Linked DNA regions of Canis lupus familiaris. The protein of the gene in region 6 interacts with the protein of the main gene of each other region in a pairwise test. Links are inferred from orthologs where the notes say so. Each region holds a gene or a part of one and is shown on either strand. Other genes may lie near its edges.

What was found.
Region 1: the proteins of GOLGA2 (region 6) and GPANK1 interact in binary tests that used the Homo sapiens proteins (3 or more experiments, as listed by UniProt). The two-hybrid records come from large-scale screens. The link is inferred for Canis lupus familiaris from reciprocal best matches to the Homo sapiens genes GOLGA2 and GPANK1.
Region 2: the proteins of GOLGA2 (region 6) and PPP1R18 interact in binary tests that used the Homo sapiens proteins (3 or more experiments, as listed by UniProt). The two-hybrid records come from large-scale screens. The link is inferred for Canis lupus familiaris from reciprocal best matches to the Homo sapiens genes GOLGA2 and PPP1R18.
Region 3: the proteins of GOLGA2 (region 6) and KIAA1217 interact in binary tests that used the Homo sapiens proteins (3 or more experiments, as listed by UniProt). The two-hybrid records come from large-scale screens. The link is inferred for Canis lupus familiaris from reciprocal best matches to the Homo sapiens genes GOLGA2 and KIAA1217.
Region 4: the proteins of GOLGA2 (region 6) and SNW1 interact in binary tests that used the Homo sapiens proteins (3 or more experiments, as listed by UniProt). The two-hybrid records come from large-scale screens. The link is inferred for Canis lupus familiaris from reciprocal best matches to the Homo sapiens genes GOLGA2 and SNW1.
Region 5: the proteins of GOLGA2 (region 6) and RAB1B interact in a two-hybrid assay, tested with the Homo sapiens proteins (2 studies listed by BioGRID and IntAct). The link is inferred for Canis lupus familiaris from reciprocal best matches to the Homo sapiens genes GOLGA2 and RAB1B.
Region 7: the proteins of GOLGA2 (region 6) and KRT18 interact in binary tests that used the Homo sapiens proteins (3 or more experiments, as listed by UniProt). The two-hybrid records come from large-scale screens. The link is inferred for Canis lupus familiaris from reciprocal best matches to the Homo sapiens genes GOLGA2 and KRT18.

What each region holds. Positions count from the first base shown.
Region 1 is NC_049233.1:1,285,955-1,290,161, forward strand, and holds the start of GPANK1 (G patch domain and ankyrin repeat-containing protein 1), read right to left. Parts: upstream 2,801-4,207; 5' UTR 2,393-2,800; intron 2,382-2,392; exon of another isoform or gene 2,303-2,381; coding exon of another isoform or gene 2,254-2,302; exon of another isoform or gene 1,575-2,253; intron 1,278-1,574; 5' UTR 1,264-1,277; coding exon 653-1,263; intron 1-652. Other genes in the region: CSNK2B (casein kinase II subunit beta), read left to right, coding at 2,254-2,302, 3,646-3,728.
Region 2 is NC_049233.1:625,434-629,595, forward strand, and holds the start of PPP1R18 (phostensin), read right to left. Parts: upstream 2,801-4,162; 5' UTR 2,667-2,800; intron 1,877-2,666; 5' UTR 1,844-1,876; coding exon 233-1,843; intron 1-232. Other genes in the region: NRM (nurim), read right to left, coding at 3,542-3,573, 4,034-4,162.
Region 3 is NC_049223.1:7,015,156-7,019,213, forward strand, and holds the start of KIAA1217 (sickle tail protein homolog), read right to left. Parts: upstream 2,801-4,058; 5' UTR 2,582-2,800; coding exon 2,512-2,581; intron 1-2,511. UniProt on the Homo sapiens protein: Required for normal development of intervertebral disks.
Region 4 is NC_049229.1:50,824,154-50,827,653, forward strand, and holds part of SNW1 (SNW domain-containing protein 1), read right to left. Parts: intron 1,805-3,500; coding exon 1,651-1,804; intron 1-1,650. UniProt on the Homo sapiens protein: Involved in pre-mRNA splicing as component of the spliceosome. As a component of the minor spliceosome, involved in the splicing of U12-type introns in pre-mRNAs.
Region 5 is NC_049239.1:51,533,912-51,538,049, forward strand, and holds the start of RAB1B (ras-related protein Rab-1B), read right to left. Parts: upstream 2,801-4,138; 5' UTR 2,677-2,800; coding exon 2,633-2,676; intron 1,436-2,632; coding exon 1,363-1,435; intron 1,078-1,362; coding exon 982-1,077; intron 871-981; coding exon 775-870; intron 1-774. UniProt on the Homo sapiens protein: The small GTPases Rab are key regulators of intracellular membrane trafficking, from the formation of transport vesicles to their fusion with membranes.
Region 6 is NC_049230.1:55,329,393-55,332,892, reverse strand, and holds part of GOLGA2 (golgin subfamily A member 2), read right to left. Parts: intron 3,495-3,500; coding exon 3,451-3,494; intron 3,332-3,450; coding exon 3,268-3,331; intron 2,850-3,267; coding exon 2,790-2,849; intron 2,610-2,789; coding exon 2,529-2,609; intron 1,753-2,528; exon of another isoform or gene 1,731-1,752; coding exon 1,692-1,730; exon of another isoform or gene 1,394-1,691; intron 1,388-1,393; coding exon 1,325-1,387; intron 1,240-1,324; coding exon 1,146-1,239; intron 1,048-1,145; coding exon 941-1,047; intron 9-940; coding exon 1-8. UniProt on the Homo sapiens protein: Peripheral membrane component of the cis-Golgi stack that acts as a membrane skeleton that maintains the structure of the Golgi apparatus, and as a vesicle thether that facilitates vesicle fusion to the Golgi membrane.
Region 7 is NC_049248.1:44,456,511-44,460,749, reverse strand, and holds the start of KRT18 (keratin, type I cytoskeletal 18), read right to left. Parts: upstream 2,801-4,239; 5' UTR 2,718-2,800; coding exon 2,298-2,717; intron 1,544-2,297; coding exon 1,461-1,543; intron 1,134-1,460; coding exon 977-1,133; intron 393-976; coding exon 228-392; intron 126-227; coding exon 1-125. UniProt on the Homo sapiens protein: Involved in the uptake of thrombin-antithrombin complexes by hepatic cells. When phosphorylated, plays a role in filament reorganization. Involved in the delivery of mutated CFTR to the plasma membrane.

The DNA.
Region 1 (4,207 bases), on a different chromosome or scaffold from region 6:
GCTCCATGCACCGGGAGCCCGATGTGGGATCCGATCCCGGGTCTCCAGGATCGCGCCCTGCGCCACCAGGGATCCCCTATATATATGTATATAGTTAATCCCCTATATATATATATTAACTATATATATATATATATGGTAAACCGTCATCCTAACACTTTACATATATTGACCCATTAAATCCTCACAATTCTTTAACAGGTGCTCTTGTTACCCCCCATTTCTCAGATAAGGAAAATGAGGCACATAAAAATTAGGTTGCTTGACCAAGTAAGTAGAATCAGAATTTAAACCCAGGGAGCTGGGACACCTGGGTGGCTCAGCGGTTGAGCGCCTGCCTTTGGCCCAGGGTGTGATCCTGGAGACCTTGGATGAGTTCCACATCGGGCTCCCTGCAGGGAGCCTGCTTCTCCCTCTGCCTCTCTCTCTCTCTCTGTGTCTCTCATGAATAAATAAATAAAAATCTTAAAAAAACACACACACAAAAAAAACAGGGAGCTCACATTTACTACTACTCGATTCCATTGCCATATCAACCTACACTGGGGATCAGGGAGAGAATCTTTGAGTCTGTTCCGGAGCCTCTGGCATGGAGGGACTAGGAAGGGCAGAACACACTGAAAGATGGGCATGGGTTAAGGCTTCCTCTCACCGGTTCTCTGGATTCCTCGTCTCTCCGTGGCTCTCTCGGACCATGCGCGCCACCTCAGGAAAACCCGCTTCTTCAGCCAGCTGAGCAGCATCCTTGCCACCCAGCTCACAGACACCCACCCAGGCAGCTCCACGGCCCAGGAGATAGCGCACAGCAGCCCCCTGGCCTGCTCGAGCAGCACACATCAGGGGGGTCCACCAGAAGGCATCCCGAGCATTGATATTGCCCCCCGCTCCCCCTGCCTCGTGGGGATCCAAGAGCCTTCTTAGTTCTGCTAGGTCACCCTCCTGGGCTGCCCTCAGTATCCAATGGGTCATCTTGTCCTCTGCCTCAAGGGATCTCCTTTGTCCATGTCCTGCTGAGGCTCCTACAGCAGCTTCCCCCATCATTCTTCTCTTCTTCCTCTTTCTTTTCCTGTCAGGTTCAGGCTGAGATCTCTGGGATGCAGGGATGCTGCTCTCTTCTGCAATCAGGGCCTCATAGAAAGCCCGGGCTGCAGCCCCATTCAGGGTGGGCTCCAGCTCTTCAGGCTGTGACTGCTGCTGCCCATCTTTCCAGAGGTCACTGGGGTTGGTGGCCGGGGTGAAGGTGATGAGGGAGGGCCTGGACATGGCTTTTGGGAGAACTGAGACAATGAGACTAATTAAAGGGCGTATGAGACAAGCAAGCCAATCCCTTGGTGGCTCTGCACTGACCAGAACCACCTCCACAGATCTGCTGGGATGAGGAAAAGTAGCCTTTTCCAAGTCAAAAACCCGTCTTATACTCTAAGTGACCCCACAACCTAGGACCCTACAGGGCCTAAGGACCATAGGTCATGTGGAAAAACAGGGAGCCATACAATAACAGCCCATATCCCTCGTAAAGGTTAACTTAACAAAGATTTAATGAGAATTGCCCAGAGGCCCATCCCTATCCTCACCAATAAGTAAAAACAGCTTCTCTCTCAAACTACTTGATCACCAGGTAAGACGTGCAGTTAAGAAAACAATCAGCCTAGCCCTTTAAATCTTCCTTGATCCTATGTCAGGGTAGGGTCTTTCCAAACAAAAACAGACTTTTAACCTTCTCCGGATGCAAGAAGAAGATTTGGGGGAGAAACTCCAGTCTCTGTGGAGACCCCACAGGGTCTCTGTACCACAAAAATTTTATCTAAGCAAAGGTGCTGCCAGTCCAATAGCCACACGACCCAGACACACATGTGTGACTGAAAAAAAAATCAACCACCACAAAGCAGAACTTGAGGGTGCGGGCGTGTGCGAAGCGCCAGGCTGAGCCTTCGCACGGTGGGACCCTCCAGGATGCCACGTGCCCAGGCAGCGCGAGGACAGAGGCTCTGTCGGTTGGGGTCCTACTTCTACATAACGCCCCACAATGCCCTTCGCCTCCCGGAACGTGGCCCCCCACTCCGAGCGCAGTTTTTGGACCTGCGAAACCACCGAGTTAAGGAGGGCTCTGAGAAGGCGGGAGGAAACCTGTGGAATGCCCCGAAGCCGTGAAGTGAAATAACGTCACGCCACCCCTCACCATTATTCTGAGCAGGGTTCGAAGGTCACACTTAGTGCCCGCAGCAGAAGGCCCCATTCAAGCTCTGAGAGGAGATGGAAAAGTGCAAGGGGACGAGCAGCAGAATGGCTGGCGCCACTTCAGGTTAGCGCACAGGCCGTCCCAATTCTCACACCGCTCACCTCAGCCCAGCCCACTCTTCCCACGTCCCGCAAGCAAGGAGCCCGGCCTCACCTCCCGCCTGAGGAGACTAGACCCCGGGGTGAAGCACCGGCCCGGGTGGGGCCTCCAGTGGCGGGCCTGACTCTGGCGAGAGGCTCCGCAGGCAACAAGGACCCGGTGGGGTAGTCGGGGACGAGGTCAGCACCCTGGGCTGCCGGCAAACACCTGGGGCAGAGCCTCGCTGTGTGAGGGGAGTTGCAGGAATCCAGCCCTCCAGCCCCGTTCCTTCCCCGCCCCCTCCCGGCCCCTCAGTTGCGCGACCCTACGACTCTATTTCCCATACTCCCTGGCCCAGAACGGGGTACTGCGCTTCCGCTTCCGGTGGTATCCCGCTGCTCCCCACCCCCGAGCGTCTTGTTCCTGGGCCTCGCGACGCCAGGGTCGTTCGTGGGTCATCCTGGGATTCGTAGTTCGCCTGTTCTTCGCTTCGCCAGTTTCTCTTTACCTGGGACTCCATTTCCCGGCGTTCACTGCGGCGCCCGACCCTTGGCGCTTGCGCGTTGCCCTCTCCCCACCCTCCCCAATTTCCACACACACCGCCCCCCGCCCCCCCCCCCTCGCTACTTCGCCTGCCGCGGTCGGGTCCGCGGCCTGCGCTGTAGCCGTCGCGGTTCTTTGGAAGCAGCAACTCCCCTCCCCCACCCCGGTCCCGGTCCCGGTCCCCGCCCAGCCGGTGAGTCTGAGGTCGTTGCCGCATCGAGTCTTCCGTCCTTAGGCGCGGCACATGGGGTCTCCGCGCGTTGGTGTGGGGGTGGGGAAGGAAGTGACCCGGTCCGGCACCGGGGGAGGGAGGGTTGGCCTGAGAGGCGGGGTGTGGGGACTCCTGTGAGAGGGACCCAGGGCCACCTCCAGGTCGTGAGGGGAAAGGGTCCTGGCTTTTGCTTGGAAAGGATAAACTTCGGAACCCTTGGGAAAGGTGTCGGGGACATGCGGAGACCTGCGGGGTAGGGATCTCGAGCCGAGAGCCCTGCGAGGGAGGGACTTGACGTAAAGAGGAGAGGGTGCTGGTTTTCGGGATTGTTAGGGGTGTGGGTAGGACGGGTGAGCCTAGACCTGTCGGTTTTTCAGAAGTGGTGGGACTCCAAAGAGCCTCTAGTGAATAAGAGGAATTGGAGGCAGGTGCGCCAGGGTCTAGGATCCTTTAAGAAAAGGGGGCTCCAAATTCTTCCATGGTCGGGGAGCAGAGTGTGGGGAGGAGGGAAGGTACCAGAGACAGGGTGGGGGAGCTTGGCCTTTGTTTACCCTCTTTTTTTTTTTTTTCCCAGCTGACGTGAAGATGAGCAGCTCAGAGGAGGTGTCTTGGATATCCTGGTTCTGTGGGCTCCGTGGCAATGAATTCTTTTGTGAAGTGAGTTCTCAATCTCCCAGCTATGTCCGCACAAAGTTTGGCTGTATGTTTTTCCACATATTTAGCTTCTACTTCTCTTACAGGCTGTCATAGAAACTTTTTCCTGTCAAGGAAGAGTCCCTTCAGTAACTCCCCTCACTAATTTGTGAAGTGGCAAGACTTGCCCATCCCAAGCCTGTTACTGTCCAGCGGTGTAATATTGGAAAAGTCAACTTTATTACTACTACTACTACTACTGTTATTCTTATTATTATTGCTAGGCTTGTACTAGTAGTGCTTAATTTGGGAGCCTATTAGGATTAAAATGCCGTTTATCAAAATGTTTTGTAACAGGCAAAGTTTTGTGCTAATGATATAATGGATTATAACTGCCCACAGGACCCAAGCTGTTTAGTCGCTGCTTTTCTTAGAGTTCTAGCTGCCGGTAAGGAGAGGACAAAACTGGTCTGTAGAGATGGGATCAAGAATAGGAACAGGGA
Region 2 (4,162 bases), on a different chromosome or scaffold from region 6:
CACCCTGGGAGACACACCCAGGGACAGCACTTGATTTGGGACAGAACCCTTGGGCTTGGAAATGAATGGAAAATGAGGGCTACAACAAGAAGGAAGGGTGTGCATAGAGGAGGAAGGGTAGTGGCAGGAATTAACAAGAAAGAATAGAGGAAGACAAGAATACAGGGCTATAAAAAAGAAAGGAGGCCAGAGAGAGCTGAGGCTTCTGAGAAGTCTGAGGGCTGCTCCCTACCTGTTTGTGGTGCCTTTCGGGGGACCCCTTGACAAGGCAGCTGCGGCTGAGGCGGAGGTAGCCCCCCAGAACCAAGATCTCCTCCGCAGTCGGGTACCGCTTCTTCCCAACTCCAGGAACTGCAACATCAGCCGCGGCTGGGGTGGCGGGAGTGCTGGGGGCTGCTGGGGGCACAGACCGCCGGGGGTTGACTGTGAAGGTGTGTCCACTGCGGCGAGGGGTCCCCACCCCTGGCCCTGCCTTCACCCCATAGAACAGACGGTTCATGAGGGGATCCCCAGGGGACTGGGGAGCAGGTGGGGCTGGGGGTAGGGGAAACAGAGGGGCTGTTGGTGGGGGCCGGAGATCCACCGCTTCCTCTTCCTGCCTCGTAGAGCCTTTAGTCCCAGCGTCCTCTGGTGGGAAGGGGGAGGGCACAGAGCTACAGTTCTGCAGGGTTCTCAGAGGCCTGCTCAGAGCCCCTGCCTTCTCCTTCTCAGCCTCCCCTTCTCCAGCCTCTGTACCAAGAGGCCCCAGATACTTCTCAGCAGCCTCTGGGGGTTTCTGAGGTTGAGTCTCTGTGTCCCTGGGTGTCCGTTCTCGAACCTTTCCAGAGTTCAGGGTCCATTTCCAGCCTTCTGTCAGCCTCAGGCCCCTCTCACTATCCTCCACAGGGCCGGGCCTTTGCTCTGCTGCCTCCACCTCTCCAGAGCTGCTCTCTGGAGCCTCCCTTGTCAGGGTCTCTGACACCTTTGTAATCTCTTCTGAGGCCAGTGTTGGAATTGGTCTCTCTTCTTTTCTCCTACATTCCTCCAAACAGTCTTTTCTTTCTTCTTCTGAGCTGGGCCTCCACCCTGATGCCTCCCGTTGTACCAAACTCTGTTCCTGAGACTCTCCAGAGTCGGGCCTCCATTTATGGGACTCTGACAGCTCCAACTTCTGGTTGTCAGATTCTGCGGGGCTCAGTCTACTTTCCACCACCTCTTTTCTCCTGGGGCTTTGTTCTGCAGGCTCTGCCAGTCTCAGACTCCACTCTGGAGTTTCTCCAGGGCTCAGCCTCCATTTCCGTGCCTCTGACAGTCTAGAGCTCCTGTCTCCAGACTCTCCTGGGCTCTGCCTCCAGTCCCAAGCCTCTGAAGTTCTGGGGCTCAACTCTCGGGCTCCCCCTATCCCCAACTTCCTCTCTCTGGCCTCCCTGGGACTGAGCCGCTCTTCTTTTGAGTCTCTTCCCTTGGGGCTCTGATCTCGAATTTCCCCAGGACTGGGTCTCCTCTCCCGGGCCTCCAAAGGCCCAGGCCTTCTCTCTGCAAGTAACTCTTCATTGCGCTGCTGCTGCTGCTGCTGCTGGCGCTCCTGCCGAATGAATCGGTTCTGGTGCACCGGCCCAATGGCTTCTAGGAGGACAGCCGACTCATCTGGGTCTGGAGGTCCAGCCTCTGTAGTCCCAGGGGCAGGGCTAGGTTCTCCAGGAGACAGACCAAGCTTGGCCCGGCGGCGCTCCAGGATTCCCCGCTTCCAGGCTGGCATCTGGGACAGACGATCCCGCTCAGCCTTCTCCCGGCCACGAAGGGCCGCCTCCTCCTGCCGCCGTCGGGCCAGCAGCTGTAGCTTCCAGTCCGGGATGGTAGCCATGGTCGCGCGGAGGTAGGGGTGGGAAGTGCTGGGCTAGAGAACAGGAAAGAGAGGCTCCAGAGGTCCTGGGGGTAGGGGGAGGGGAAGCAGAGGGGCAGAGGAGGGACACCGAGATGGGCCCAGGCCCGGGAGGGGAAGAGTGAGAAGATGGAGGGCAAAGTAACGGGGAAACAGAAAGTGAAAAAGCAGTGGGCCCGGCGGAGGTGGCGTCGCGGCCCTGAGAGGAAGAATAGAGATTCAGGGCGAGGAGACAGCAGTCAGAATTGGCAGCGCGGGGTTCATGGTATCGGGGAGGCCCGAGGATGTGAGCGGAGAGAAGGGCGGAAAAGGAGTCGTAACGAGGGAGGCGAGAGCCCGGAGCGGCCGGGGAGCGGGGGCGGGGGCGGCGCGAGGAGGAGGACCAGGCCGGGTTTCCCCACCGCCGCCCCAGAGGCGGGGGGCGGGGGGGGCGGGGAGGGGTCCGGGAGTCCCGCCGGGAGGGAGCCGGGACTGGAGCGGCGTCGGGGAGCCGGGAGGAGCCGGCGTCCGGGGAGGCAGCGGGGCGCGGGGCGCGGGTGCGCCCACCCCGGGGCTCCCGGAACCCCGGCGCCCGCCCCCGCCCCTCCTGCGGCAGCCCCCGGCCCGGGCCGCGCCCCGGCTCCGCGCCCCGGCTCTGCCGCCAGGCCCGGCTCCCGGCTCAGCGGCCCCGCGGAGCCCGCCGTCCCCCCGGCTCGGGGCGCACCGACAGGCAACCGCGGCTCGACGGGAGGAGCCCGAGGTCCGCGCCGGGGCGGGCGGCGCGAGACACCCCCGCCCCGAGGCCGCAGCCCCGCAGCCGACTCACACGCGCGGGGCTCCCACGGGAGGGGTGCGGAGGAGCAGGCGTCCGAGGGAGGAGGAGTGGGACCGAGGGAGAGCCGGAGACGCGGGCGGGGAGGCGGGAGGGTGACCGCGACCCGGGGCCGGGCGGGGGGCGGCGACCGCTTTGTCTGAGGACAATGGGGAGGGAAGGGGGCGCGGGCGGGGCGGCGCGGGGCGGGGCGGGGCGGGGCGGGGCCGGCTCCCGAGCCCGCGCGTGGGCCCCGCCTCCCCGGCTCCCCTTCTCGCGCCCGAGCCCCGGCCCGGCCCGGCCCTCCTGCCGCGAGCCCCGGAGAACGCAGGTGTCCAGGCCCTGGCCCCCGCCCCGCCCGCCCCGCCCGCCGCGCCCGCCGCGACTCAGGCCCCTCGAGGGACTCGCAGAGGAAGCAGCCGCTGCCCCGGCCGGGCCCGCCCCTCCCCAGGCGGTGGCCTCTCCCGGCCAGCCTGCGTCACTGCGGGGTCCCGGGCGGCCACCCGGAGACGTACTCGGAAGCCCACGGCTTTGGTAACTGGCCCCCACGACAGCCGCTGCCCAGTCTTTAGCTTCAGCCCGCGTCCCATGGGTCCCGGTCCACGGCGGGGGAACTGGGGACTTGGAGGAAGGGGGCTGGGCCTCGGGGGTGTGCCCGAGGGGCCGCCGCCCAGCGGTCGCCAGAGGGCGCGGTGGCCGTCCGGACTCGACTTCGGCGTGCCTGGGCTCTGCTGGCCTTCCTTCCAAAGTCAGCCCTCTAGTTAGAGACACACTGATGGACTGCATGCCATATGTAGAAAAAACGGGCTGAATTTTATTTTTCCGCCGCAGACGTTCCTCGGGAGGGCAGAGATCTCTTAGTCACCAACATGAAGGGCGGGAGGATCCTCTCAGGTTAGAGGACAGAGCCCAGGGCCAGCGCCTAAGGAGGGGCAAGGCCTAAGGAGGGGCTAGGTGAGTCAGCAGAGCTGGCATTACCATCAAACCTGCAGACCCTGATCCTACTCCTAGGAAGGGAAGCCTGAGGGGGAGAAGGGGATCCCTGAGGTGTAGAAGGGAGCAACAGTGGGAGGGAAGTGGGCAGGCCCACCCTTCTTCCTTAGAAGGACTGTTCTTAAGGTGGGGTGGAGGTGGGTCAAGGCCTAAACTGTGAGGAAATACTGAAGTTCCCCACCCTTCCTCCGTGGTTTGGTGAGAAGTAGATCTTGGGGTCCAGTGGTTGAAATTCAGGATTAGGGTATGGAGCTGGGCCCAAGGAGTGGAGGCTCAAACAGGGGAAGGGATGGCCCCTTCAGTCCATAGATTTGGGCCTCTGGTCTGAAGCAGCCAGAGCCCAGATGTTAAAGGGCTTGGGACCAGGTTAGCTCCTCACTCGGCCTCACCTTCCTGGGGCCGGGAGAGCAAGTGCAGTTTTCTTTGTAACTGGGCCCGGAGGTAGCGGAGGTCTTGCTGGTCAAGCCCATGAGCCAGGCCCAGGTACAGGGTAAGGAGGAGAGCAAGGAGGAGGCGGT
Region 3 (4,058 bases), on a different chromosome or scaffold from region 6:
TTGAATCTCTAAGGAAATTCTTTTGGCCTTCCTGCCTTCTCTTTTTTAAGATTTTATTTATTTATTCCTGAAAGACACAGAGAGAAGCAGAGACACAGGCAGAGGGAGAAACAGGCTCCTCACTGGGAGCCCGATGCAGGACTCGATCCCAGGACTCCAGGATCAGGCCCCCAGCCAAAGACAGATGCTCAATGGCTGAGCCACCCAGGCGTTCCTTGTCTTCACTTTCGATATACATCTAGAACCTACCTGTCTTCTTATCACCACCTGTTCTACTACCTGCTGGTCCAAGCTACTGCCTGGTTTACTGCAGAAGCCTCCAAAATGGCCTCCCGCCTTTCCCCTACCCCTACTGGGGTTATTCTCAGGATAGCACCCGGTATTTCCCTTTTATGTGACAAGTCGGGCCTGCCAGCAGCTCCCTACCTCCTCTGAAATAAAAGCTCAAATCTCTACCATAGTCTCACAGCCCTGTGTGACCCGGCCTGGCATTACCTCTTAACCTCTTTTCTCCCGGCCTTGCTGCTCTATGAACATGTTCTTGCCTATTCCCTCCCTTGCCTCTGTCAGAGGTTTATTCAAATATACACGAGTAAGGATCTCCCTGATAACCTTGTCTACTACAGTTTCACTTGCAACCCTGTGTACTCCCTGTTCCCTTTTCCTGGCTTATGTTTCCCTGTAGTCTTATTTCCACTTAATAGAGTTGCTAGATAACATAGGAAATGCCCAGTTAAAATTGAACTTCAAATAAATAATGAATAATTTCAGCAGAAGTATGTCCCAAATATTGCATGGGCTATACTTATGCAAAAAAAAAAAAAAAAAAAAAAACTATTCCTTGTTTATCTGAAATTCAAATTTAACTGGGCATCCTGTAATTTTTATTCGCTAAATCTGGCAACACTGCCATCTAACATGCTATATATTTTTGCTTACCTGTCCATTGCCTCTCTCTACTACCCTCTCCCCTCCAGACTGGGCTCTTAGAACATAAGTTCAATGAAGGCAAGTATTTTCCAACGACTTTGTTCACTGCTGGATCCCCAGCAGCTAAAACAGTAACTACTACATAACAGATGTTCAATATTCACTGAATGAATGAGTAAATGAATAAAGTGATCACACTCCCTCAGCCCCGACCATCTCTCCAGCCTCTGCAGCATCTTTTTTGAAAGCCATTTCTTAAATTGGTCCCGTTCTAATTGCCCCTCCAGATTCTGTGTCATTTATTTCAGCAGAGGCCCAAAGACTGAATCCCTGCTGTAGGCTCCCCTCTTATCGAATTGGGGGTGGGGGTGGGGGATGGAAGGGAAACCTTATCTTCCACTGGACCCCTCCGACCAGGCGCCCTCAGGGAGGAGCGTGCTCTGTTTTAGAAGCACAAACACAGATACCTAGACTGGTGACTGTAAAACCGGGGGATTCCTCAGGGTTTACTAAGCTTAAGGTCTCCTGAGTTTCACCGGGGAGGGAGTAAGGGGTGGGGGGTGGGGGTGGGGTGCAGGGGTGTTCTATCTCTCGCAATTCCATTTTCTTCTGCGTAGCTTAGTTTTGCATTTTCAGTGTAGATGAGTCATTTGTTACTTCCCTTTGGCCTTTTTAAAACACACACCTTTTCCCCTGTGCATAATCAATCCCTACTCCCACTCGGAGCACAGCCGCCCCGCAAGCGCTCCTCTGGCTCTCTGGCCGCCGCCTGAACCCGGGGTGGCGTGGGCGGGGACGGTTTCGGATTGTGCGGGTTTACCAACAGGCTGCCTATAGGACCCGGTATGATAGGCTCAGGCATCACAGACGTCAGAGAGCGGAGAGCAGAGAAGTCCTTTGGCCACCCAGCCCCGCTGTGCAATTTCTTTGGAACAACATAAGCTGCTGGAAATTCCCTACGGAAAAGACAAGCCGATCACAAACACAATGAAAGGAAAACTGCCTGCGGAAAATTTACCAAGATGGTCTTACAACTCCCGACTTTTGAATCAGAGCATTGAGAGATTCACACAGCCCCATCTATCATCCGGAGGTTACCAGCGGCGCCCTGCAGTTCTGATCTGGAAAAGAAAACGTCCCCGCAGTCTGTAACGTAACTCGAAAATTCCGCAAAACTTGCAGGGAGCAGGCATCTGCCTAACGGGACTCCCTCCCGCCCCCAACCAATGAATGGAAACGCCGCGGTCCCCGGGGCGGCTTTTCCCAGACGCGGCTCCTCTTTCCCCCGCGGCCGGAGCTGCGCGGACCGAAAGCCGCCCCGGGCGGTGTGTTTTGTCACCGCCTGGAGACTGAGCACATACCGACTGCTCCCTGTGCCCCCAATGTGGCACCCCCCGCCACCGCTCCTGCCGCTGGAGAAGGGCCTGCCAGAGATGCAGCCGGACCCAGGGGTCCCAGGTCTGCCCTGGGCCCCGACAGCGCTGCGCCCCAGGACGGCGCCAGGTCGGGGCCCTCGAGGGCGGCGGGCGGCGCGGAGCACGCGGGGCCCTGACTCCATCTCCGGGCGAGCCGGGGACTTACCCTGCTTCTGTCTGCCGTCTGCTGAGCGCGGGACGCACGGCTCACATTTCTGGCTTTCGCTTTCTTCCATTGTCCCCGCCTGCGGCACAAGCTCCTCGCTGCTCTTTAAACTTCAGAGAGCGCAGTTCTGAGAGCTCCCAGAAAGCGCCTGGAAGGGGGCCCGGGGGTGGGGTGGGGAGGAGGGGACCGTGCGAAACCCCACCCCAAACTACTCTCCGCTCCGGTGCAAAGTCTCCCAAGCCCGAGAAAACTGCATTCCAGCGTCGGGCCGCCCCCGTCCCTCCGTGCCTGCGTCCCCGCGTCCGTCCGTCCGCGCGCCAGACTGTCCCGGAGGAAGCGGGGGGGTGGGGGGGGTGGAGGGTGCTGTGCTCGGAGCCGCCCCTGCCCCTGCCCCTGCCCCTGTCCCCGACCCCGGGCCCTGCCCCTGCCCCCGGGCCCGCCCTGCGCCGCGCGCGCCCGAGGCCCCAACAGGTGATGGGCTTCCCCACCCAGGACCCAGACCTGCCTGTTTGCACCGCTGCAGACTGCCCCGATTCCGCAGCCAGGGAAGGGACACATTTCACACAGGGTCACCGGCAGGCGCTGGAAGCCACTTCTCTGGTTTCTTTAATCTCAGACACAGACAGAGTGAACCTCCCCAAACAGGCTGATTTACGTATTACTAAGCAGCCAACTGCTGAACATCCCAAATTTCAGTGAAATCCAGAAAGAAAGAAGAGAAAAGAAGAAAAAAAGAAAAGGAAAGAAAAGAAAAGAAAAAGAGAGAGAAAGAAAAAGAAAGAAATCCTATGTGCCGAATGTTGTTAAGTAAACACTTTCTGGCGATAACTGTTTAGAACCTGATTAACACATACAAAGAGGTTGTTTACTTTTCACACAATTTCAATCACTTAAAATGAACTTTAAAAAGAGTTTGTACTCCTTCGCCTAGGCTTTGACACTTCCCCTCTCCCCAACATACACACACACACACACACACACACACACACACACACGGTCACAAATCTGAAAAGTAAACTAGTCCAATCAACCTTCTGAAGTTCTCGAGTTAATTACTTTAAAATATCTGAAAGGCAGTAAGATTGCTTTTCTTCGGATGGGCAGAGTGGCATCCAACATACTCATTCTCCTTTTAAACCATCTACAAATATTTATTTTGTTCTTTACCCAGTCCTTGAAAAACTGGCAAATTTCCCAGAAAGTGAAAATAGGAGACACAATGTCCACACACATACACACAAAAAAGATGGGAAAATAATCTAAGCAACGTTAGCTCTGCCATTCCAGCCATCTAAAAAGTAACACAATCACTAGTAGGAAGAGTGTGATATTTTCATCTGCAGCGGCCCCATCTTTCATAGGGAAAAAAAGAACAATGGTTAGCCTGCTGACCATACCTTGACCCAGTTGAACACCCCACTGGGGCAAGGTTTAGATTAATTTAGATCAAGAATCCATGCAGAACAATGGTTGGCCCATCCTCCAGATTCTGACCTTGAGTCACCTGTGTGTTTTGGCAGTATGGGGGACATATTTTGGCCTTTCAG
Region 4 (3,500 bases), on a different chromosome or scaffold from region 6:
CTTTTATTTTGTCCTGCTTCTTACAAATATACTATCAGTGAAAACAAAAGAAACAACAACAATGCCTTAGTAATATTAATAAGACTGGTCTTTGCATATTAGAATATTAATTAAGTCTAGAAGAGGGCTGAGAAAAAAAAAAAAAAAAGGAAATTTTTTATGACATGATCTAGTTGGGAGTTTGTCTTCCAGGCTCTACAGAGTGTTCTGGTAGGCAGGGAGAATGCCAAACATGGGAGAGGCTGAGAATGCAGATGGCATCTTGCAGGGTGTGAAGCAACAGATTTCAGTCCAATGAATGCTTAGTTCACTATGAACACCACGTGGAAGCATATGAAAAAAGGTAAAGGCATGGACATTGTAAGGTAAAAATCACATTGTAAGGTAAAAATCACAACTGTAAAAGGAAAGAATGTAAGAAAGTGATAAAATGAAGATACTTGGCTACAAAAATGAATGGTTTAAGAAGAGAGATTTTTAATAGGGCAGGTACATTCCTTGGGAAGTGGAGGAAGGAAATTTGCAGGAGTCAGAATGAATATTAAGAGATGGAAAAGAAAAAGGCTCAATCAAAGAGGAAGTGGTCTTGGGGAGGCAAAATAGTTAAGTCTCAAATATTTGCTTTTCTCCCTAGATGAAAAAGGTGGTCAAGCATGAGAAATCTGCCCTGGAATTAGGGAAAGGATTACGTATTGAACTGCAGTACAAGATACACAGTAACTAGGAGGACAGGTACTGTCAAATAAGTTTCTTTTTTGGAAACAAGCTAGAGATATAAAAAGATCAGTCTAGATTCATCTTTCTCCTTACTGCCTCCAAACCAACAATCAAATTCTCTTATACTGGGACGCCTGGGTGGCTCAGCAGTTTGGCGCCTGCCTTCAGCCCAGGGATCCTGGGACCCCAGGATCGAGTTCCACATCGGGCTCCCTGCATGGAGCCTGTTTCTCCCTCTGCTCGTGTCTCTGCCTCTCTCTCTCTGTGTCTCTCATGAATAAATAAATAAAATATTAAAAAAAAACTCTTATAGCTTCTAAAAAATTAATCTGTATATTAGACATATAGAAACATTCTCAAATTGAAAACAAGAAAACGGATGAAGAGAGGTCAGGATCTGCTGACTAAACAGTAACCAGCACAGGTATGATGCAAAAACACTTCTTATTATTTATTCTTTTAAACTCCTTGCCAGTGCTCTTGCCACTATACTTAATAGGAAGGAAATCAGAAAAGGAAACACTGCTGGAGTTTTCCCTGGAGGAAAGCTGTCTCTGCAGGGTTATGTGGCATTGTGCATATAGGGAGAAGGGAGGGAAAGGCACCTGAACATGAACTTGTTCTTTCATTTTCTCCTCTTACTTTCCTATTATTTTCCCTCTGCGGTAATTGCTAGATTTATAGAGGGTATGTTAGTTTCTTTTGTACATTTAATAGTTGGACATTAAGAAGCGACACAACCAGGTATAATTCTCTCATGTTCACAAAGCAGTGATACTAAGCCAGAAGAAAAAGATCAATGCCCTAAGAGGAGTACATGTCTTAGGAACTCATCACCAGGATTTCTAGCATATTGGCATTCATGTGCAGACGTTCTATGGTTTAAATTTATTTTACAAGGGTATTATAATAAGTGTTAGCACAATTATTTACCTCTAATAATCGAGGTATCCAGCCTTTCCTGTACCCATATGGGGGAGGTTCTCTTCGGGATGAGACCAGTGAGGTCTGTCTTGATCTCTGGGATCTTGCTTTTTCTTCAGCCTCAAGCTGGTCCTGAGATAGCTGAGTAGGTGCAGGTAAAAAGCTATAAGCAAAGATAATGAAAGTCAGAATTGTAAAAAATTCTCACATTAGATCATTGCAATTTGGCCATCAGAGGCTATTTTACCATAATACTTTTTTCTCTTTAGCAGGTCAAACATGTCAATGATTTATGGCAGTATTAAATATCAGTCATTTTATTTTGTCTGGAAAGAAATAAGTACTCAGAGATATACAGTAAAACACGTTTGACTAGGATGCAGGCAAATGATGCCCAAATAAAAAATTAATAAGTATTTCATATAATAAATAAACTATTGAGTTTTTATGCTTCTACGTTTCCTTTCTTATAACAAGGAAACATTCTCAGTTACCAGTGGCCAACTGTCCAATATACAGTTGCACTAGTGTCTTTCCTACTTTCATACTCCTTATTTTTAACTGCTTTACTCTTATGCTTCTTACTTTTAACTATTTTAGCATCAATACAAAAAAACAAGGATTAGCACTGAATGTAACAAAGAGGTGGACAAAAGAAAGAAAATATAAACTGCATATTTAAGTGTGTTTTACCAAAGGTATCTAATTTAGAATGCAGTTTAAAACTTAGGAAGTCAAAGATTCAAAGCAGAAATCCTAAATATGTACTTTGTTACTCTTTAATCAAAGCAGCCTTTCTACCAAGCAATTCTTAGCAACTTTGAAGTGTGATAAATGTTACTACAGAGATATCCCAAAGTACCACAAAAGGATTCCAGTAATAAATAATACATTTAATGGAAAAGTTAAGGTTTCTTTGTAATTCTTGGTTAGTAAGCATATTTCAGTAAGCAACAGAACTTATTTATTCAAAATATTTATTGAGCACTTGGGTGCAGGTACTGTGCTAGGTAGGCAGTGAGACTATAAACTGAGAAAGACCGGTTACGTCTTGCAGAGGAGAGACAATTACTCATACAAATCCACAATCACAAATTGTATTAAAGCTGAAGGAAAAAATACAGAGGGCTATACACAAGAGGGATCTATTCTAGAGTTGGGTACTATGATGGATAAGAACCCAGAGTTCAAATCCTACCTATGCAAGGTAGTAACCCAGATAAGTTACCTACCTCTCTGAACCTGTTTTCTCATCTGTAGAGGCAGATCAAAAGATGACCTACCTCACAGAGTTGCTCTAAGTACTAAATGAGAAAATCGATGAACCCCCTTCACACAGTGTCTAAATATTATTCAATACATACTTGATTATTTGGATCTGTTCCACAATTCCCCCCAATTTGGGTTTGTTGCACCTACCATGCTCCCACAAGACCCCCTATATACCACTATTATAATCTGTCTTACTGTTTTAGAATTATCTACTCATTTACCTTTCTTTTTCTCACCAGAAACTTGCAGGAATCATGCTTTCAGCTTCTTTCATCCCTAACTCTTTAGGCATTGTCTAGCTCACAGCACATCCTTTCCTACAGTGCTTTTACAGTAAACTCTTAAGAAAATTTAAAAAAAAATATTTTATTTATTTATTTATTCATGAGAGACACAGAGACATAGGCAGAGGGAGAAGCAGGCTTCTCTCAGGGAGCCCGGTGTGGGACTCGATCCCACAACTGGGATCATGCTGTGAGCCAAAGGCAGATGCTCAACCACTGAGCCACCCTGGCATCGCTCATTCATTCATTCTTAAAGATTTATTAAGTAATTTCTACATCCAACATGGGGCTTGAATTTACAAC
Region 5 (4,138 bases), on a different chromosome or scaffold from region 6:
CACAGCCCCAAGCAAGTCTCCTTATCACTCTGATCCATTTCTTCATCTGTAAAATGGGAAGCTACTGCAGACTTCTTTAGAGTGTTAAGAGACCATGACCAAAAAAAAAAAAAAAAAAAAAAAGACCATGACAAGTTCTATAAACCTTAAGGTACAGTGGGACTATTTCACCATGTTAATACCTCCACTGCTGCCAGTGACACATGACTAATGCTGCCACAGCAAACACAGGGCTCCTATCTCTGCTCGCAATGCACCCAGAGTGCAGAGCTGCCTCACCTCTTTTGTCTAAAGCCCTCCTATTGCTTCTCCATAGTGTCTTCACCCAGGAAGCCATAAGCCCAGCACAGCAACCGATTAGCTGACTAAACCCTTACAAAATGTAGGTGCCTATAAAGTCTAGAATAAGGTGGCAAGTTTAGCCAGGAGGTGTAAGGCCTGCTTCTGCCAATGGCTGGGAGCAGGGCCTCAGGAGGATGCACTTTCTGTAGCTGTTTCCCTTGTGAAATGAGTCCAACTACAGTCTTCCTTCAAGGCAGCATCCAGAAGACAGGATGGGAAGAGTAAAAAGAAATAAGAACCAGAGACCTGGGGTGCCTGGCTGGCTCAGTCAGTAGAGCATGTGATTCTTGATCTCAGGTTGTGAGTTCAACCCCTATGTTGGGTAAGCAGATTACTTAAAAAAATAAAATCCTAAGGAAAAAAAACAAAACAAAAACGAACCAAAGACCCAAAGCTGAGAAGGCAAAGCTGGAGATGTGACCCCAGGAGTACCTGGTCGGTGACATCGTACACCACAATGATGCCATGAGCCCCCCGGTAGTAGCTGGAAGTGATGGTCCGGAACCGCTCCTGACCAGCTGTGTCCCACTATAAGACAATAAGAAAGAAGGGCAGGTCAGCTCTGAGCTACTTGCCCAGAGCCCTTCCCTTCCCAAGGTGGCTGCCTCTGCACCAGGGACTGGGAAGAGCGACACTCACGATCTGAAGTTTGATGGTTTTGCCATCCAGCTCAATGGTTCGGATCTTGAAGTCCACCCCAATGGTGCTGATGTAGCTCTCTGTGTATGTGTCATCCTGGAAAAGCAGGGAGCAATGAAATGGCCTAGGTGAACAAGCCCAAAGCCCATTTGGAAAATCTCCCTCCAGGACCCTGCCCCAGCCAAGTTTGTAACTGCTAAGCCCTCATTCTCAGCACCCCAACCTGTCAGCCCTGTGTCTTTGCTCAGAGACGCTACGGGAGGTTCTGTAACTTCATCCTTGGTTCCGAGGTCTTGGACCTCCTGTGCTCAGTGTTGCCCCCTCTCCCTCCTGCCACCAGCCAGGACCCCAGGTGGATGGTATGGGAGGCTCCTTACTCACAGCAAACCGCAGAAGCAGGCATGACTTGCCCACGCCCGAATCACCAATCAAAAGCAGCTTAAACAGGTAGTCACTAGAGAGAAAGGATGGGAAGATATGAAGGAAGGCAGGGAGCCCACCAGCCATGTCATCTGCCATTACAACTATGGTCTTCTCTCATGCTGTGAGACTTGCCTTGGTTTAGAGTATTAAAGCACTCACAAGATCCTCTCACAAGTCCTGGGAAGGGGAAGGCTGACACCTCTCCCCATATTACAGCTGGCCCAAAGGGCTGAGTCTGAATTTCCACTTTATAGAGAAGAAAGCTGAGGCAGAGAGAGGGATACGACTTGCCAAGGATCACAATCCTTAGGAGAAAAAGCTGAGTGTCCTACCCTGACACTTGACAGACTCCGTGGTCTCTGGGCCAGTAGAGGGTAGTTAGGGTCCAGCCTAGAACTCGTTAAGTGAATATCTATGTGAAGAGCCTGGTATGAAGCCTCTAAGAAGAGGTGGTCAACGAGTAGCAATGACGGCAGTTAAAGTTAAGTACTGAGTTCCTACTCTGTGCCTGATCCAGTGCTAACTACTGCAAATGCATCATCTCACTTATGCCTCACATCAGCCCTATGAAATGGATGGTGTTCTTTCTAACTAATGAGGAAACCAGAGGTCAGAAGAGGGAAGTGACTTGCTCTAAGTTACACAGCTGTTAACTTTAAGACTGGAAACCAGGTTCAGACTCCCAAAGTCTCTGTGAGAGCCTGTTAGTTCCCTTCTGTGTCCCTTATAATCCAGCTCTGAGCTTCACCCTTACCTAAGGAAATCTGAGGCCTGGATCTGGAGGAGAAAAAGGAAGTGACAGAAGAGGAAGAAGACAACTGACACTTGGGGAAAACTGTCAATGAGAAGTCTGGGGCAGAGATATGGGCCACCTATCCGCAGGGGGAGTGACCAAGAAGTGAGGAGAGTCTGAGGTACAGAGAATCCCACTGGAATGGGAGAAACAAATGCCATATTCATCTAAACTTCATCAACAGCGTGACGGCGAAGGTAAGGGGTGTGACGGTGGCGCTGGGGGCCTGCGCAAAGGTGAGGAGAGGGCGGGAAGGGACTGGTTTCCAGGAGCGGCAGGACGGCTAGACGGAGGCAAGGGGCGAAGCTGTAGCCCCGGAGAGGAGGACCCACGGGAGAGCGACCCGGAGCGGCGCCTCGGGGCCTGCCGCGTCCGACCAGCCCCAGGAACCGGATTCCAGGAGAACGGGAAAAATAGAAAGATTTACTGTCAGACCTAAAAGGCCCGAGGCTGGACCGGCTCCAAAACGCCGGGACCATCGTCAGCACCCAGACTGCCACTGCAAGCAGCAGGTGGGGAAACTGAGGCCTGGAGAGACCGAGGCTGCGGGTTCACCTGACCAATAAGGCCTGTTAGGGACCGGTGCTTCGGGCTCCAAGTAGTGCCCCTTGGGGTCGCAGTGTCTGGGTCCCGGGTGCAAGAACTCGGGGTACCGAGCCAGGGTCCTGGGGCCCCCAGGGGGAGGGGCAGGACCCGGATGTGAGGGGGGGGGGGTCAGCGGAAGAGGGACCCGGATGTGGGGGCGCCGCTGAGTCCTGACCCAGGCCGGACAACCCCGGTAAGCGTACAGCCCCGTACTCGGGATCGAGGCTGCGCCGGACGGCGCGGGCGGGGCTCACTCACTATTCGGGGTTCATGGCGGCGGCGGTGGCCCGCTCGGTCGCTCCCAGTCAGCTCTGCTCCGCCTCCCGTTTCAAGATGGTGGCCGCTCCGCCCCAGAGGCCCCGCCCGCGACACGCAGGCGCAAACATTCCCGACTGGGGCCTTGCCGCATTGCTTCTTGGAACTTGTAGTCTCCTTACTTTGCCCAACTCTCTCCCGGTTGCGCAGGCGTAAACTGAGGCCGCGTCTCCTAGCCCACGCCCCATCATCGCCGCGCATTGCATTCTGGGGCTTGTAGTTCGCTCCGTATGGATGTACCTGAACTTGAGAACAGCTCCCGGGGACCTGATGGCGTCCCGACGATGAGGTCAATTTAGGGCTAGGGTTGACGCGTTTCACGTCTGGCTGAGGTAGTCATCCCTACCCTCGCAGTTCCCGGAGTTGTTAGCATTAGTTCATTTATTTGGGGGGGTCTTGTGCTGGCACTTCTAATTCAGACAGTGCCCCCGGAGGGTGTCGTCACCCACATTGTATAGATGGAAAAGTCTCGGTAACTCGCTCAAGGTGAAATGGCTTACTTGGTAAGGGGCAGAATTCCAAGCCCGCGGTCTCTAGAATCTCAGAGATGAAGGTTGCTAGAAAAAACTGGATCTGTGAGGCCCCCAAACAAATCCGAGATAGGAGCCAAATATCTGGGCTCCAGCAGCGCGGGACAGGACCTGAGCGACACACACACGCTCGCTCGCAGCCTCTCCCGACCTCACCCCCAACCTAGAGACACTAGGAGCCCCCGGCCTCCGCCCCAAAACAAGACCGACTCAGATTCAAACGGTCTTTATTTCTACAGCAACATTTGAAAATAGAGAGCGACAGCCTCACCCCCCAACTGGGGCAGCCCCTCCTGCCACAGGGGCCGTCACTGCCCCTCGCGAGAAGCTGCAGGCATGGGAGGCGTGGCAGGATGGCTCGACAGGCGGTGCCCGGGGCGGGGTCAGGCCGTGCCTGGGCCGGGCGGGGCCTGGCGGAAGGGGCAGTGCATAAGGCCGGGATGCTGGGCAGGGCCCGGCGGTGAGAGGACGGGCAAGGGGGGGGCACTCCGTCCTGGGGCGCGCGGGTCGA
Region 6 (3,500 bases):
TTGTTGTGCTGCAGATACAGAAAGGCAGGGTCAGGCATGGGCTGGGCAGCAGAAGATGCAGCCACACTTCTTCACCCACCCTAGCCACACTTGACACTTTGTTCAAAGCCATGTCCAAGCCCAAGTTGTCATGTGCCGTGGACTAGAACTTGGTAAGGGTGGGAGAGATTCAGAGCTGGCCAGCAGAGGCCCAGACAGTGGCACTGCTATCAACTACTAGTAGCGTCAGAACACTCCTGACCCTTCACAGAGCATGTCAGCAGCTGCCATGCTAACAATCACATTCAAGCTTTGCGACCACCACATGGGGTAGGCACGATTGTGTCTGTTTTTACAGGTGAACAACACAGAATATCACAGATTCAGTCGTTTGCCTAAAATCCCCATCGGAAAGCTAGAATTAAACATCCAGTCCGTCTGATTCTTCACCTACATTTTCTCCCTGGGTTGGGGAAGCAGGGATAAGGAGTGGAATTAAATTTGCATTGTGATCCTCTGTCCCTTTTTTGAATGATCTGTTCATACGGCCCACCACTCAGACTGTACAGAGGTGATCTGTTCCTCTCCCTGGGTTTTTATAATTCCTTTCACACACCTTGTATTACACACATACTTCCCTTCCTATACAAATGGTAACATACGAAAAAGACTGTTCTGTACTCAGCCAAGACCCACAGCCAGTGAAGGGGGCAGGGCTGTCTCTCAGGATCTGGACTCTACATTCAGTGCTCAGTCCAGAAAGCAGCCCCAACTGCTAAGTCCCCCAAGACAGTCAGCTCAGCCCTGGTTGCTTCTAACCACCTCAAAACTTTAAAGCAGCAAGAAACAGCCCATGCTGCCTTGTGGGCAGGAAGACACTCCACCGTGTGGAAGGGACCTTTCCCCTTCCCCTGTCGGGGAAGCTGCACCTCCAGCCAGGTGGGTCAGAAGCTGGGCTCACCCTGTCCACCTGCTTCTGCTGTGTGGAGACAGCAGACAATGTGCGCTCCAGCTCACTGACACGCTGGCGGGAAGACTGCAGGCGACTAGCAAGATCTTCAGACTCTCCTGGAATGACAGAGTTCAAAGAGGAGCCCAGGAAGGAATCCCACCAAAGGCCTGCCAACGTGCCAGGCTATGGGGTGGGAGGATGTCTAGACTCCCACCTGCTTTCTGCCTGGCTGCCTGCTGTGTGTGGACCAGGGCTGTCTGTAATTCGGTCTTCTCAGACACCAGAATCCCTATGGTCTGAATGTGAACCTTTGGGAAAGAAGGTAAAGGGGTGCTGAAGAGAGGGGATGGAAGCATTTCCTGGGGGCAGGAGGGAGATCCCAGCTCCACACACCTGCAGCTGCTCCCTTAGAGACCCCTGCTCCTTTGCAAGCTTCTGTTCAAACTCCTTCTTCTCCTGCAGGAAGGAGGACACAACATCCTTGACTGGAAGGGGGCAGAGATGAAACAGCAAAGGACGTGATCCCAAAATATGCCATCAGTGGAGCAGGATAGGCCCAACAATGTGGCCAGACTGGGGGGGAGGGGGGCGTGGTGGCAGGTAGTGGGAGGAGGGCAGGGGTAGGGAAGGGGTGGGGGACACAAGGGGGCCTTTTATTCCTCCAGGCTGGGAGCAGACCAAGATGAGAATGGGCCTCTACATCTGAATCCTCCCCAAACGCCTCTGCCACATAATCAGCAGACAAAAGATATCATGTTACTTTTTCCAGTTGATCCAGAGTTTCCTGGTTCTGTTGTTTCTGTGGGGAGAGCCAAAGAGAGGTAACTCGGTCTATTCCCTTTCACTGCCCTCTGCACACCAAGACTGAGGGATGGGCAGGGGCCAGGAATGGGTTTCAAAGGGGAAACTTCATGTGGACACGAACTGATAAGAGTCTCCTCAAGCTCCCAAGAAAAGACTTTGGGTCTTGGGTAGTTTTGCTCACAGCTACACAGATGAGAGTCCTTGTGAAAGGACAGGGATAAACCTCCAGAAACAGGAGTTGAGAAGCAAGAGACTACCCTTCTGGTAGCTCGTGATTTGGAAGGGTGCTTTCATTCAACAAGTATTTACTGAGCACCCTGGGCCTAAGTACCCACAGGCCAGGTTCTGTTCTTAATAGCAGGGATACAGGAATGAGAAGGACCTGATTCTCTGAGCTAAAGGGGACCTTGGACACCTCTAATTCTACCTCCTCAGGAGACTGAAGCCCAGAGAGGAAAGGTGACTCATCCAAGTTCAAAGATGGAGCAAATTAGGGGTTGGGTCAGGGCAGGAGCACACCAGCCAAGCCAGTGCTTCCTCCAGAGGCTACAGCCCTGGGGCAAGTATGGAAAGGACTCAAGCAGGGGTGTCCGGAGAACAGAAGGAGGCAAAGAAGGCAGCCACAGAGAGCCATGCCGCATGCTCTGGGGTCCCTCCACCTGAGACTCAAACCCCCCGACACCCCATTCTCCCTTAGCACCAGGGTCCCCCAGCCCCTTTCTTCAGAGCCCCAGGGAAAAACTGGAGCCCCAGATTGGCAGTGTGGAATCAGGGGACCCCACTGGACTCTTACCAATTCCTCTATCTTGCTACTGAGTTGTTTGTTTGTTAGATTGCTGGAGTCCAGGGCTAGTGATAGCTCTTGGTACCGGCTCTGAGGCGCATGCAGAGGAGGAGGAGGAGGAGGAGTTGGACGAGGGTTGGGGAGAGGTAGAGAGAGCAGTCATTAGGGTTGGGGGCTGTCTGGGCTGGCAGCGGGGCACCCAGCCCCCGCTGTGGGAGGAGATGGGGGCTGGCCTGCAGGGTCCTGAGACCATGGTCTAGTGCCACTTACCTCTAGATCCTTTATGTTAGCAGAAGATGCCAGGCCCTCCCCATTGATGTAGGATGAAGACTAGGAGACACGAAAGGGCTCACATGGAGGCGCACTCTGCCCGCCCCAGTACCTAAGCCCTCTGACTCCTCATCCTGCCCATCAGCTGCAAACTTTTCTGCCTAACTAACCCCTCCTTTGTGCCACTCCTCCTGGTTCTTAGCCCCCCGTCATCATCCATCCCCTCCTGGGCAGCTCTCATTATGCACTTTCTGCAGAGAGGTCAAATGATGTAAGCAGCCTCAAGGTCGGACCCCTTTACCTGGGGGAGCTTCAAAGGGAAGACTTCAAAGGGGAGAGGAGTCAGGCAAACATTACCCAGTGAGCTGGCTACTCCTGAGCTCTTCCCTCCCTCTTGGGAAATCTCTGCCTCAGTTTCTTTCTGTCATATTCTCCCTCCCCATTTCCCTCCCACTTTGGGTTTCAAGTTCTGGGGTACCTCGGACACAAGACCATTGAGCTGCTGAGAAAGCTGTCGCAGGCTCTCGGTAGAGGACAGACATCTGGGGATGAACATGAAAGTCAGGGGTTCAGGAGGCCCAGCGGGAAAGAGGGGGTCTCAGGCAGAGGCCTGCCCCAACGCCTGGGCCCAGGGACCACTGCCCTCATGGGAGATACTCACTTGCTATCATCTATGAGGATAGGACCATTTTCTGCATCATGGTTCTGTTC
Region 7 (4,239 bases), on a different chromosome or scaffold from region 6:
AGGTTTCTCATGGAGTCCAGGTTGATCTCCAAGGACTGGGCGGTACGTCTCAGCTCCGTGAGGGTCATCTCAGCTTCTCCGATCTCAGCGGTCTGTGTGGTGACCACTGTGGTGCTCTCCTCGATCTGCAGGGTGGGTATAGTCCTCAGGTCCCCCCTCCTTCGCCTCCCTCCCACAGCCTCAGGCCTCTGTGTCTAGCCGGGCACCCAGCCCTTCCCCTCGTGCACCTGCTGAGACCAGTACTTGTCCAGCTCCTCCCGGTTCTTCTGAGCCAGCTCGTCATACTGGGCCCGGATATCTGCCATGATCTTGCTGAGGTCCTGAGATTTGGGGGCGTCCAACTCCACCGTCAACCCAGAGTTGGCGATTTGGTTTTGTAGACCCTTTACTTCCTAAAGGAGAGAGGATCAGAGTGAGGAGAGACTCGGGGTCAGAGCTCCGACAAGGCTCCTCTCCTGCAACTGTCCCTCGTGGGAGACCTGTGGGATCAGCTGGAGAAAGCAGCAGAGAAGATTCTTGGTTTTATACTCTGGGCGATGCCAATCCTGGGTTTTCTACTGCCGATGAATAAAATGCCACCCACTCTGCCCAAATCTATCACCTACAGGTGGTTTCTCTCCCTCACTTCACTCTGTCCCTCCATCTATCCTCCTTCCACAACCTCCTCCTTGTACATTCTTCCAGGAAGCCCTCTCAGCGCCACCTGCCCTCACTCCTCCAGCAGCCCTCACACGTGGTGCTGGCTGCTTCTATCTTTTGTCCTCTCCTCGCTCTCTCACCCATGTCCCCTTGACCCCATCACACTGCAATTCAGGTGACCGAGTATGGCAATGATCTGATTAAGGAGAGCCCGGGCTGGTAGTTCTAAACTTCTCTGCCAGCTACTTACAGGCAGGCGGCCTGTGCCATCTAGTGCCCTCCACCCCCGACTTGTTTGGCTTCCTCCTTCCCGGCCTGGCCAGGGGCCCCTGCTTGCCTCCTCGTGGTTCTTCTTCATGAAGAGCAGCTCCTCCTTGAGAGCCTCGATCTCTGTCTCTAGCTGCAGCCGAGTGACATTGGTGTCATCAATGACCTTGCGGAGCCCATGGATGTCGCTCTCCACGGACTGGCGCATGGCCAGCTCCGTCTCATACCTGGGGGCAGGGGGAGGGGAGGCGATCAGAGGGCCTCATTCTGACCCAGGACCTTCTCACTAGGCCATCTGAGAGCGCCCCTGGCCCCCGCAAACCAGCCGCCGGAGTCTGGATCAGGTGGTAATCCTCTGGGCAGCCTTCTCGGTTCTTGGGGGACAATGTTCGTAGACTGGGTTATATCCGTGAATAAATACATGGAGCCTAGCTCCTACCCACCCCGCTCTGACCAGAGCCAAAGATCCCGCTGTGAGCCCCCGCCTGAGTGGCCCAGCCGGCACCAGACGGTTCTTGGGGCCACCCCGGCCTCCCCAGCAGCCCCAGGCTTACTTGACGCGGAAGTCGTCAGCAGCGAGCCGGGCGTTGTCAATCTGCAGAACGATGCGGGCATTGTCCACGGCACTTGCAAAGATCTGGGGGATTGGGGAGAGGTGGCTCCGTGAAGGGGAAGTCAGTGATGGGGGCCGAGCCTGGCAGTGTTGTGTCTGAGTGGAAACTTCTCGATCCCAGGCATAGTCAGAGGTTCTCCTTGTGCACCCACCCCCTTCCACCTGTGCCCCCTCACACTGTCGCTCCTTTCCTGGGGCCCCAAATTCCAGAGTTCCCACCGGTCTCCCACCCCCCCTTCTCCGAGGCCCGCCTGCCCTGAAGTCAGTCAGTCCTCTCCTCGGCCCTCTCCTGGTATTTTTTTCCTAGTGCACCTGTTCACCTCCCCCCTGCTCGCCCCCATTGGCCCCTCCCACAGGTAGGCCTCCTGTTTACTCTTAGATGACTCAGCCTTAGCCACATCCGCTTAACCCTCCAATTGTCCTCTTTCAGGCAGAAGTCAGGTGTCCAGGTCCTCTTTCTGGGGCCTTATCTCCCGTCCCTCCCTCCGTGCCGCGGACTTCCTCTGCAAGACTCTCGCCCCTCCCCTTCTCCCCTTCGCCTGGGAAAGGGCCCTGCCATGCCCAGTCACCGCACTTGGAGTCCCTGTAACCGGCGTGCGTGTGCGGGGGAAGTCCAGGGCATGCACCCCCTCCTTGTGGAAGAGGGGCGGGGTGGAGATAGAAAGCAGGAAGGAGTCGGACACCCCACCCCATTAAAATTCCAATCCCTGGGGGAGGAGGAAGAAGCCGCCCACGTAACAGGGTATGCCAAGGCTCTGGGTTGGGGTGGCCCCCTTACCTGAGCCCTCAGGTCCTCGATGGTCTTGAAGTAATGCCCCCAGTCTCTGACCTGGGGGCCCTTCTTCTCCAGGTGTTCCCGGATTTTCATCTCCAGTCTCTGATTATCAGCCTCCAGGCTCCTCACCTTCTCCAGGTAGGAGGCCAGGCGGTCATTCAGGTCCTGCATGGTCTCCTTCTCGCCCTGGATGCCCCCTATGCCCGCCAGACCCCCGGCCATCCCCGCGGCCAAGCCCCCGGACCCCCAGCCGCCCCGGAAGCTGGTGGAGCGGGATACGGAGATCCGGGAGCCCGAGCCCCCTGCGCCTGCATAGACGCTGGCCGCACTGCTGCTGATGGGCCGGACCCGGTGGCTGGGCGCCTGCACGGAGCCCAGGGACCGGTAGTTGGAGGAGAAGGTGGAGCGGGCGGTGAAGCTCATGCTGCTCGGAGGGAGGGCCGGAGGGCGACTCGGGAGGCCAGGGCTCAGGCTCGGGCCAGGGACGGTGCAGCGTCCGCCACCGAAGTTATATCCTGGCAGGAGTGGGTGGGGACCGGCCCGGCAGGCCCCGCCCCCCCCCCCCCCCCCCAGGCTGGGCTGCAGGTGCACCGCGGGGGTATCGCGTCCGGGCCGCGCCTCCCCGGCCTCCCTCCCCCAGCACCCAACACCCTGGCACCCCGCACCCTGCAGCCAAGGCCGCCCTCCACCCCCCGCAGAGGCGGTGAGCAACCTGGACGGACCAGGGCAGCAGGTGGAGCCGGCCCTCCACGCGGAGTTTGGGGCAGGAAATAACGTCCTTAGATCCTCCTCCCCAGGGTACGGGAGGTCCCGGCACATTGGAATTTGGGGGTTTGGGGAGATGATAAGTGAGTGACGTCAGGTGCGAATCTCTGAACCATCCTCAGCCTGCAGCCCAAGTTCCCACCTGTGGAGAGCATCTGGGGGGGTCCTGGAGCCCCAGGAGTCGTGGGGAAGGAAAGTTTGGGGCTGGAAAGGAAGAGAAGCTCAACCCTGAGTCTCCCATCTGCCAGTCTACACCACGACCCCCGCCACACTCGGTTCTCAAACATACCCCCTTGCACCTGTTCATTAGCACGCACGCACCCACGCCCCATCGTAGCCATGTGTATTGTCAAACACCCACTCGGGGTCAGGTCACCCACCAAGTACGAACAGGTCGGTTCTCGGAATCCCCTCCCTCTTGGTCCCCTCCCCTCCCCTCCCCTTCCTTCCCCTCCCTTCCCCTCCCTTTCCAAGGAAGCCTGCCGTCAGCGGGACACTTGGTAATTTAAACGCCCGAACACTCTTCATTTCTAAACACGTGTGTGTCAGCCTTACCCACACCCTGGGGTCAACAAACACTTCCTGAGTGCTTTACAGTCCAACAAGTATTTATTGGGCACCTACTGTGTGTCAGACCCTCCTAGAGTTGCTGCTGGGAAAATAGCCCCAATAACAGAGGCTGAAATCCATCAAGGGATCGCAGGGGGTCCCACACGGTGTAGGGTCAGCCCTTGTGGCCAGCCCCCTCCCCATCCTTACTAGGATTTTTCTGCAGGTGTCCCCCCCCCCTCCTGCCTCTCCTCCCTGGACCTCAAGCCTGTCCCCCAGGACCTAGGTAGGTAAAAAGGATGGGAGCAAAGAAGTTCCCACTGCTCCGTCTGGGGCCAGTGGCCATCCCCAGCCGAGTGAACCTGGGGAATCCTGAGGTACAGGGCCTTCTGGTCTGTCACCGCGAGCAGCCCGTTTGTCCAGCAGGGCCTGACCTGGTCCACTCGGCTCTGCTCTTTGCTCTGGAGTGGACCTATTGATTCTTATCGAGCTGCCAGCTGAACTGAAGAGATTGGGGGCAGCCGTGAGGGCAGGCCTGGGGGAGGAAGGGATAGAGCCGGGCCAGGGGACCGGCCGGGGAGGCACAGCTCAGATGTGGGGCTTGGCCCTGGTTCTCCCGGGCCTGCCCTTT